Caenorhabditis elegans: one gene and its partner. The protein of the gene in region 2 purifies or fractionates together with the protein of the main gene of each other region. This does not show direct contact. Each region holds a gene or a part of one and is shown on either strand. Other genes may lie near its edges.

Region 1 (4,998 bases), on a different chromosome or scaffold from region 2:
ACTCTCTGTAGAGCATAGAGACGGTCATGAAAGATCCGGACTTTCCCTTCTTCTTTCCACCGCCACCTCCCTCCTTGGCCTTAGCGGCGGCCTCTTCCTGGGTGGTGTAGTCTTGCCAGATCTCGACGAGAAGATCGTTTCCCTTGGATTGTTTCATTGCCGAGACAACGGTGTCGTTGAGGGGGTCCTTGTTCTTCTCGAGCCAGTTCAAGCAGTTGTAACGCACAGTTCCGGCGTAGTGCCGCATGGCGAAGTGAGCTTCTCCTTGCTTTCCCTTTGGTGGCTTTGGCTTCTCGAAGTTTGGATGCTTGCCAAGATGTTGATCGACAAGCTTGGAAGCGAGGGTCAAATCAGTAGCCTTTGGTACGATACACTCTTCATCAAGCATGGAGATAATACCGAGTGGCTGAAAAATAAGAATTGATCAAAATACATTTAAAATTTCAATTCAATCTTACCTTCTCAATAAGTTCGATACACGCTTGCAAATCAAGTCCGAAATCGATGAAGACCCATTGAATACCCTCACGGGCGTATTCTTCCTGTTCAAGGACGAACATGTGATGGTTGAAGAATTGTTGGAGCTTCTCGTTTACGAAGTTAATCCACAACTGCTCGAAGGAGTTGAAGTCGAAGATTTCGAAACCGGCGATATCGAGCACACCGATGAAATAATCACGATCAATACCCTTTTGATCCAGAGTGAGGTTACACTTCTTGACAAGCCAGTTGAACACACGGGAGTAGAGACCCTTGGCCATGGCTCCGACAGCCCAATTGACTTGTTCGCAGTTCTGTCCCTTGGATACCCATTCGGTTCCGACCTTGACACGTGGCTTGGTCAAAGCCTTGAGGAACTCCTCGCATCCGATTCCGTACATGTTGGATGCCTTCTCGGCCTCATCGGTACCATCTGGCTCAGCTTGCTCTTCACGTGGGCGTTGCTTGAACTTCATGTTACCCATGTGCATGTGAGCGGACATGAGGCGGTAGCAATCCTGCTTCTCGACGGCAGAGAAGTTGAGGATGTCGAAAGCTTCATCAGTAAGTTGGAACTCTTCGACGTCATCGATTCCGTCAATGATCAACTCGGCCTGGGCGACGAACCAGTAATCCTTGATTGGCAAGTCAAGAAGAAGTTCCTTCTTGAGCTCTGGACGGAAGTCAGAGTAGATTTGGTAGAAGATGTGGTAGCAACGCTCTCCTGGAGCTTGACGGATGACACGAGATTTCTCGAGCAAGTCTGCAAAATTTATAGTTTAAAACAATAGTTGCATAATTTTTATTGAGCTATGCTAGAATATAAATCAAAAAGTAACTCACAATGCTCGATATCGCAAGATGCGAGGCGTCCGTGCTTGTTGAAGTGGATACGGATGAACTTTCCGAAACGGGATGAGTTGTTGTTACGGACAGTCTTGGCGTTACCGAAGGCTTCAAGTACTGGATTGGTCTGGACGATTTGGTCCTCAAGGGTGACCTTCTTCTTATTTGGATCAACTTCAGCTCCACCTTCCTGTTGGGAGGCACCGACAGCGGCGAAGTAGCAAATAACCTTCTTGGTGTTCTCAGTCTTTCCGGCTCCAGATTCTCCGGTAATGAGCATAGACTGGTTCTCGTGGTCTTGGAGCATGTTACGGTAGGCTTCGTCAGAGACAGCGAACAAATGTGGTGGCATTTCTGTCTTTCTCTTTCCCATGAACATACGGGCGCAAGAGTCGGTGTAGATTGGGAGACGCTTGTATGGGTTGATGACAACGCAGAAAAGTCCGGAGTAGGTCTGAAATAGGAAACATTCTAGTTTCGATTTTTAAATACTGCAGGATTCAATCCCTTTGTTTAATTTTATGTTCAGTTGCATTCCCTTTAAGTTCTTCGAAATATAGACCCCTGTTACTTCTAACTTGTGCAATGAATCAAGCAGATCTTCTTCATCTTCTTTTCTTCAAACGTTTTTTCTTAGAAAAATATATCCTCACAATACCTTCTCTCTTCTTTGCCATCCCCAATGGCAGTATCTGATGCAAGGGAGCCTGTGGGGCTCCCGTCATCCACAGTGTAATGTAAGATGGTTCAGAGATTCAGAAGAGAGGCAGAGATAGCCTCATCCCACTCAATTGATGAGAGAATGGGATAGAGAGAAACATTTGAAAACGAGAAGAAAAGAAGATAGAGGGAAGGAGTTTCGGGATTTTATGGGAATTTAGAAGAAGAATATGAATGATTCTCAATGCTTAACTTTAAGTTTCAATGAAACTTACGTAGATGAGCATAGCAGCGTAACGGGAACGCAAGTTATGGAGGACAGAGGCGTCGTTGAGGAAAGACAAGTTGGACATGTCTTCGGTCTTCTCGAACTTTGGTGGATTCATTTCTTGAACCAACTCCTTCTTGAGGGTGACCTGAATCACACTACATTGAAAACCGTAATCATTAGCTTAAAAACGAACCTCATTTCCGCGAGCGGTGACGATGGTGACCTGGTCTCCCTTGGTGGCGGTGATTTCTCCGGCAAGGTATCCCTCTTCTGGATCTGGGATCCAGACGTTCTTCTTGGAGTCATAAGGCTTAGATTGATCCTGAAATTACAATAATGGTACAAAAGAGATCAGAATTCAGAAATATATCACTTCTAAAGAATACCAACTTGTGTTGAAAAATGGTCTAAACCGCTTCACACTTTAGACCCATGAATGGAATGGAATCAAAAAGTAAAATCAAGGTTAAGCTTGTGGTGTAGTCAAAATAAATGTGCCGTCTCAAAATACAGTACTACTGCAGCACAATGTGTCACAAAATTCCAAGTGCAATGCAAAAATTTAAGAAAGGAAGATTTCAATGATTTCAAGGGAAAGATGATCTTGAAGCTAAATCTATGAAAAATTAGAAAACAGAAATAAACATTGATTACAAGGATTACAAGGCAAGCTCAAATCTTCTACCTGAATTTAAAAAATCTATAAGTGTAAAATGGCAGACTTTAACTCAGTTGTATGTTAAAAATCTAGAATTTCAAAAATAAATGCTCAGTTTTGTTAAAATTAGATACTTATGGAGTACTATACGATTTACTCTATAGAAATGAGCATAACAATAAAGACAAATGAAAGAAAAATAAATAAATAAAAAATAAATACTCACCTCCAAAACCTGCTCTCTGGTACGGCGGAGATATTGCCATCCTGGGTCCTTCTCGTGCTCCATGATTTCTCGCTTCTTTCAAATGGTTTCTCTACCTCAAAACTAATGTGGTGCTCCCTTAGTCGAGGTTGATGATGCGAGTGATGAGTGCCTGCTTCTTCCTCGGCAGGAGGATGTTGGCACCCGCAAGCCACGCCCCTCTTTGGGGATTCTACGAGGTGTAAAGCTGTGTGCGGCAGCGGCAGCGGCGGGAGAGACGGGAACCCGGCTTCCCGGGAATACACGAAGCGAGAGACGCCTACGCGTAGTGGAGGGTGCCAGAGAAGATAGTGGAAGTCTCAAGAATTCCATTGGAGCACGAAGAAAAAACCAGGGATAGAGATAGATCGGGAGTTGGTAAGATCGGGAAAAATGAATTCAGAGAGTACGGTCGGTCAACTTTTTTTATAGGAAAGTGCAGAACAGTGATAAAAGGAATAAGATAGAATGTTTACATACAACCAGTGAAAATAGAATACCAGTTTGATTAATGGTTCTTAAACAGATCTTCAGCCTCCTCTTGATAATCTTCCACGGTTCACCACTAGATCTTCAGATTTTAAGCAAATCAATACATTTACGACCTAGTTAACTTGCCTTTGCATTACTCTTTTTACAGAGACCAGTGAAAACCGAAAATACTCACTGCAGTATTCTAAGCGGCAAAGCTCTAATATCAACCCTAAAATTGTTGATCTGAAATTGTTTCAGTGCAGTTTTCCTTTAATTTTTTTTGCAAAAAAATCAAGAAAATTGTTATAACAATTCTTTCAAAAAAAAAATCAAAAAAATTTTTAGACCAATTCTCCAAAAAAATCACAATTCTTTAAAAACCTCCCGGAGTGTTTACCTACACTTCCTGAAAAACTTTCAAAGTTTGCAAAAAAGCATTTAGAGCAATTATGCAGGTCTCTAAAGTAGTGGTTAAATGAGACAATTTCAGATCGATATTTTAGGGGTTGAGAGAAAAGTATTGCTGCTTAAAATTTTGCAGTGACATACCTTTCGTGACATAATCTAAAACACTTCAGATGAAACATGTCTCATTTTGAAGTTTGAGGGTAAAATGTAAAAATTTCCTTGTTAGAAATGCATTACAAATAAAGTCTGCAAAATTGATACTAACCTACTTTGGAGTCGAAGTAAGTTTTAAGACTATTTTTATTGATACGTAGAGGAGAGGGGGGCAAAAATATTTAATATTTGATTACGGTACTGCGATTCAATGCTACAGTAATAATTTTGATCAGATGGATTCGAGGTATATCATTGTGGCGGACAATCGATTTGGAGGCACCTGTAATACTTATCAATTCTACTCATTCGAACTTCAAGTTGCACCAATCAATTTTTCGAGCCTTGGTAACTACTATGAAGTTGTCGCGTTTGCTTTAAAAGGTCTCCTGATAATAGTATCTGTCTAAAAATTTACGAAAAGGCTCATAAATCATTCTCATGATAGTATGTATGTAACTGGATAGTCTTTCCGTTTGCTTTATCTTCTTCAAACATTTTCTTCAGATTTTTGTGCTTCTCCAGCAAATCAGCTTCTCTCCAAATCCCACAATCTCATACTTCATCCTGACGAAAACAATTCGCGGATGCTGTAAGACAACACGGGAATATCACGAAACCCCTAGAGACCCAGACAAAAGTAACAACTGATTCTTCGTCTCGCGCTCTCCTTGATTGCAACACTATCTCCAGGCGCCTAGGAGTTTGAAGGCATGTGGGAGCGCTTGGAGCATCCAGCAGCATTTTCTGGGTTCCACCGGGAGGAGACGAGGTTTTTTGATTGTAATAAGAGATACACAAAAG
Region 2 (3,334 bases):
TATTTGCATTTTTCTTGTATATTTCTTTTATTTTCCGATTAAAAAACCACAAAAATGAAGAAAATCAGTGAAATATAGAAAATAAATTTAAAATAAACCTTAAAACGTAAATATAAACTCAGGTTCAAAACGGCTTGTACAAATCAGCAAAGATAATTTTTTTGAAACTAATCGAATTTCTTCAAAGACTTAAATATTATTCAGCTACTTCAGAAACCTCATAATTTTAATGTTTCCACATTTTCAGAATCAATCTGGGTTATCATTCGAGTGCGGCCACTTACTGAAGCAGAAGCCGCGATGGAAGTCTCCGCGCAACCAATGGATCCATTCCATCGGCAACTCGCTGTGATGTCATTTGTGGAAGGACCAAGTAGCAGTGGGACACATCCATCTCCAGTGCCTGATCCACCTCAAGAGGACATGATGGAATGATTCGAGACCTTGTAAATTCTATTGTTATTATTGTGATGATCATCAATTATTTACCGTGGGATATCTTAATCAAATGTAAATTTCAATGCAGTTATTGAATCAAAAGTAATCTTCTAACTATTTTACTTTTAAAATTCAACGTAGCTCGGGTTATCAGACATCTGGTAACTCTGTAATGAACCTTATTGAAACATATTTTCTCATTAAGATTTGTTCCAATTGTGATAGACACCCAGTACAGATTTGTTGCCTTTTCCACCTCTCGCATTTCTTTTTCAAACTATTCATCACTTTTTTCCCCAATACCTATTAGCCTTTTTATAAAATAACATTAGAAGTCATTGGTATCAACTAATTTTATCACCACCATTTATTGCACTAATCCATTGAAAGATTATAATTGGAGAAATAAATGAGAAAGTATTATTTGAAAGAATGTAAGATTTGTGTGCAATTGCCGGATGTTTAGGCGCTGGCGAGCTCGTCTTGGGCTCCGGTGGTGATGAGGTGAGCGAATGCCTTGTAGTCAACCTCTCCTCCCTCGATTGGTGGCTTTCCCTGAAAGAAGAGGAATTGGTAAGTTTCAATGATTTCAGAAAGAATGAATTTACCTTGTACATAGCCTTGACCTCATCCTCGTCTAATGGCTCTCCTCTCTTGTTTTGAAGGATCTTGATAAGGTCGTCCTCCTTGATCTTTCCGCAGTCCTTCTTATCGAACATAGCAAAAGCTCCAACAATGGTGGCCTCTGGGTCAGTTCCTGAAATTATTGCAATAATGAATTGAATTCCATTAGAAAATCTGAAAAGCCTACCTGTCAATCTCTCCCCGAAAAGGGTGAGGAAGACGGTGAAGTTGATTGGTCCGGATGCCTCCTTGATCATGGCGTCGATCTGGCTGTCTGGGGCGATTTGTCCCATGGATGCGTAGAGATCCTTGAGGTCAGACTAAAAATTGTTCATTAGTATCATTTTAAAACTTAAAAAAAGCTAACCTTGTCGATGATTCCGTCCTTGTTCTGATCCATGATTCCGAAGGCCTCCTTGAACTCCTGGATGGTCTTCTGGTCGAATTGGGCGGCCTCGGATCCCGAGCGCTTCTTTGAGGACTTCTTCTTGGCGGCCTTGGACATGTTGGAAAAGGTTCTCTACCTGAAACTCAGTTATTTGTTTACAGGTAGCACACAAAATTGTCGAAACAATGATAGAAGTAAATTGCTTGGGAAACGAACAAATTAAAATTAAAAATGCACCCATGAAAAGTATGAAGAAGAAGCCTTTTCCAAGTCCCGATCTTGTCGAGAGCATTGAGATAATAATGGTTGGTTGGTAGGCGTATGGGAAGGAGGAGTAGCTGGATGGGAGGAATGTGATACGAAAAGAGACCGAGAGGAGGTGCTCTCTCCACGGCGGGCAAAGTTAGTAGGCAATTGGTGGAGGGTGGCAGATTCCCGGGATGCCGTTTGAGATAGAGTGTAACACAGCGGGCAGCGATCAGTTTTGCCAGCAGAGATAATGTGTCCCAAGCAGAAGCTCGACACAAAGAGCGCTAGAAAGAGCAGTGCCCGTGATCCGTGCGCCGTGTCTGTGCTCTCTTTGGGGATCTCAGACTTTCTGATCACCCTCACACGGCCGGGAAGATATACGCAATATCTGTTTGTGAAGAAACGACAAACGCAAATATCTACAGAGTTGCGGCAACGCATGGGGGAGAGAATTTTTGGAAAAGCCAACTGTTTGGCTTCGAATATTTTCTCAAGTACATCTCTCTCAAAAGCAGGTAAAAGTTAAGGTGGTAGGCTTTTTGCTGCGCGCAGAAAAGCGAGGGTGGAGAGCAGGGAATCTAGGGATTTTTGGGAGATGAATGATCAGAGTTGCACTGAGGGTGGCCCATTAACACAAAATAGGAATTAGAAAGAATATAACTTTGAATGTTGAATGAAAACATGTAACATCGAATATTGTTTCTAATGGCTGAAGACAAATTAACAAGTTCGTAAAAAGAGAACAATTGAAAGGAATGTTTATAAGTGGTTTTTATTGTTTTTCTAGCAAGAACTTTTCCGAAGATAAAAAATTGAATGTTCAGATTGTTTTGTATCTCATGAGCCCAGTAGAAATCTTTACTACTTCATAAGTATGGAAATCAAAATAAAACATTACAAAACATAAATTTTTCGAAAAATTGAAATTATGTTCAACAAAAATGCCAAGCGACTGGAAAATTGTATCCAATGTTTCTTTGCCAACTTTAAAATTGTATATTTTGTTTCTAGTAGTTGTGCTTGCTGATTATCAAAAAATTGAAGAAGACATTGTTCAACAATTGATTTTTAGAGGCGACAGCTAATCTGAACTTGTGATTCTAACGTGTTGTAACAAATTTTCAAAGCGCGTTTTCCAGACCATCATCGTACTTTTCAAAACATTAATGGTTTACTGTTTGAAGTTTTCAGAGGAAACATTTGATTTACACAAATTGTTGTAATTGGAATTAGAACTATTGTTTATGCTTCAATTTCGTTAAAGCAATTTTTTCACAATTTTGTTTGATGTATATTGGAAAAAAAAATTCAATTATTCATTTTACAAACGGAAATTGTGGAGTGATAATAATAATAACTTTTACGAACATTTGTAATACGCTCATAATAAACATTAAATGATTTTTTCAAATTTACAAACAAACCAAAAAATTAACTCTTTTCGAAGTAAAACGTTTCAAAAATAAGTTAACAAACAGGAAGCAAAATTAAAAGCGTTTCTGCCAGCTGACGCATTATCTTAAAAGCTGTTTTCAGATAAGAGCACTGGTAGACAGAACACTCAATAGAAAATCAGATGAAAAAGTTTGAAAGTTGAGGAATCAAAAAAGTTATCCTTGTTAATTTAGGATATGA

Evidence for each region.
Region 1: the proteins of mlc-2 (region 2) and unc-54 purify together in Caenorhabditis elegans (affinity purification with mass spectrometry; 2 studies listed by BioGRID, with this or other methods). This does not show direct contact.

Annotation. Positions count from the first base shown.
Region 1 is NC_003279.8:14,860,247-14,865,244, forward strand, and holds the start of unc-54 (Myosin-4), read right to left. Parts: upstream 3,237-4,998; 5' UTR 3,205-3,236; coding exon 3,142-3,204; intron 2,580-3,141; coding exon 2,451-2,579; intron 2,403-2,450; coding exon 2,262-2,402; intron 1,781-2,261; coding exon 1,324-1,780; intron 1,244-1,323; coding exon 459-1,243; intron 407-458; coding exon 1-406. UniProt on the Caenorhabditis elegans protein: Required for muscle contraction.
Region 2 is NC_003284.9:17,455,001-17,458,334, forward strand, and holds mlc-2 (Myosin regulatory light chain 2), read right to left. Parts: upstream 1,587-3,334; 5' UTR 1,568-1,586; coding exon 1,430-1,567; intron 1,383-1,429; coding exon 1,250-1,382; intron 1,196-1,249; coding exon 1,047-1,195; intron 994-1,046; coding exon 901-993; 3' UTR 792-900; downstream 1-791. Other genes in the region: C36E6.2 (Nbr1 FW domain-containing protein), read left to right, coding at 248-435.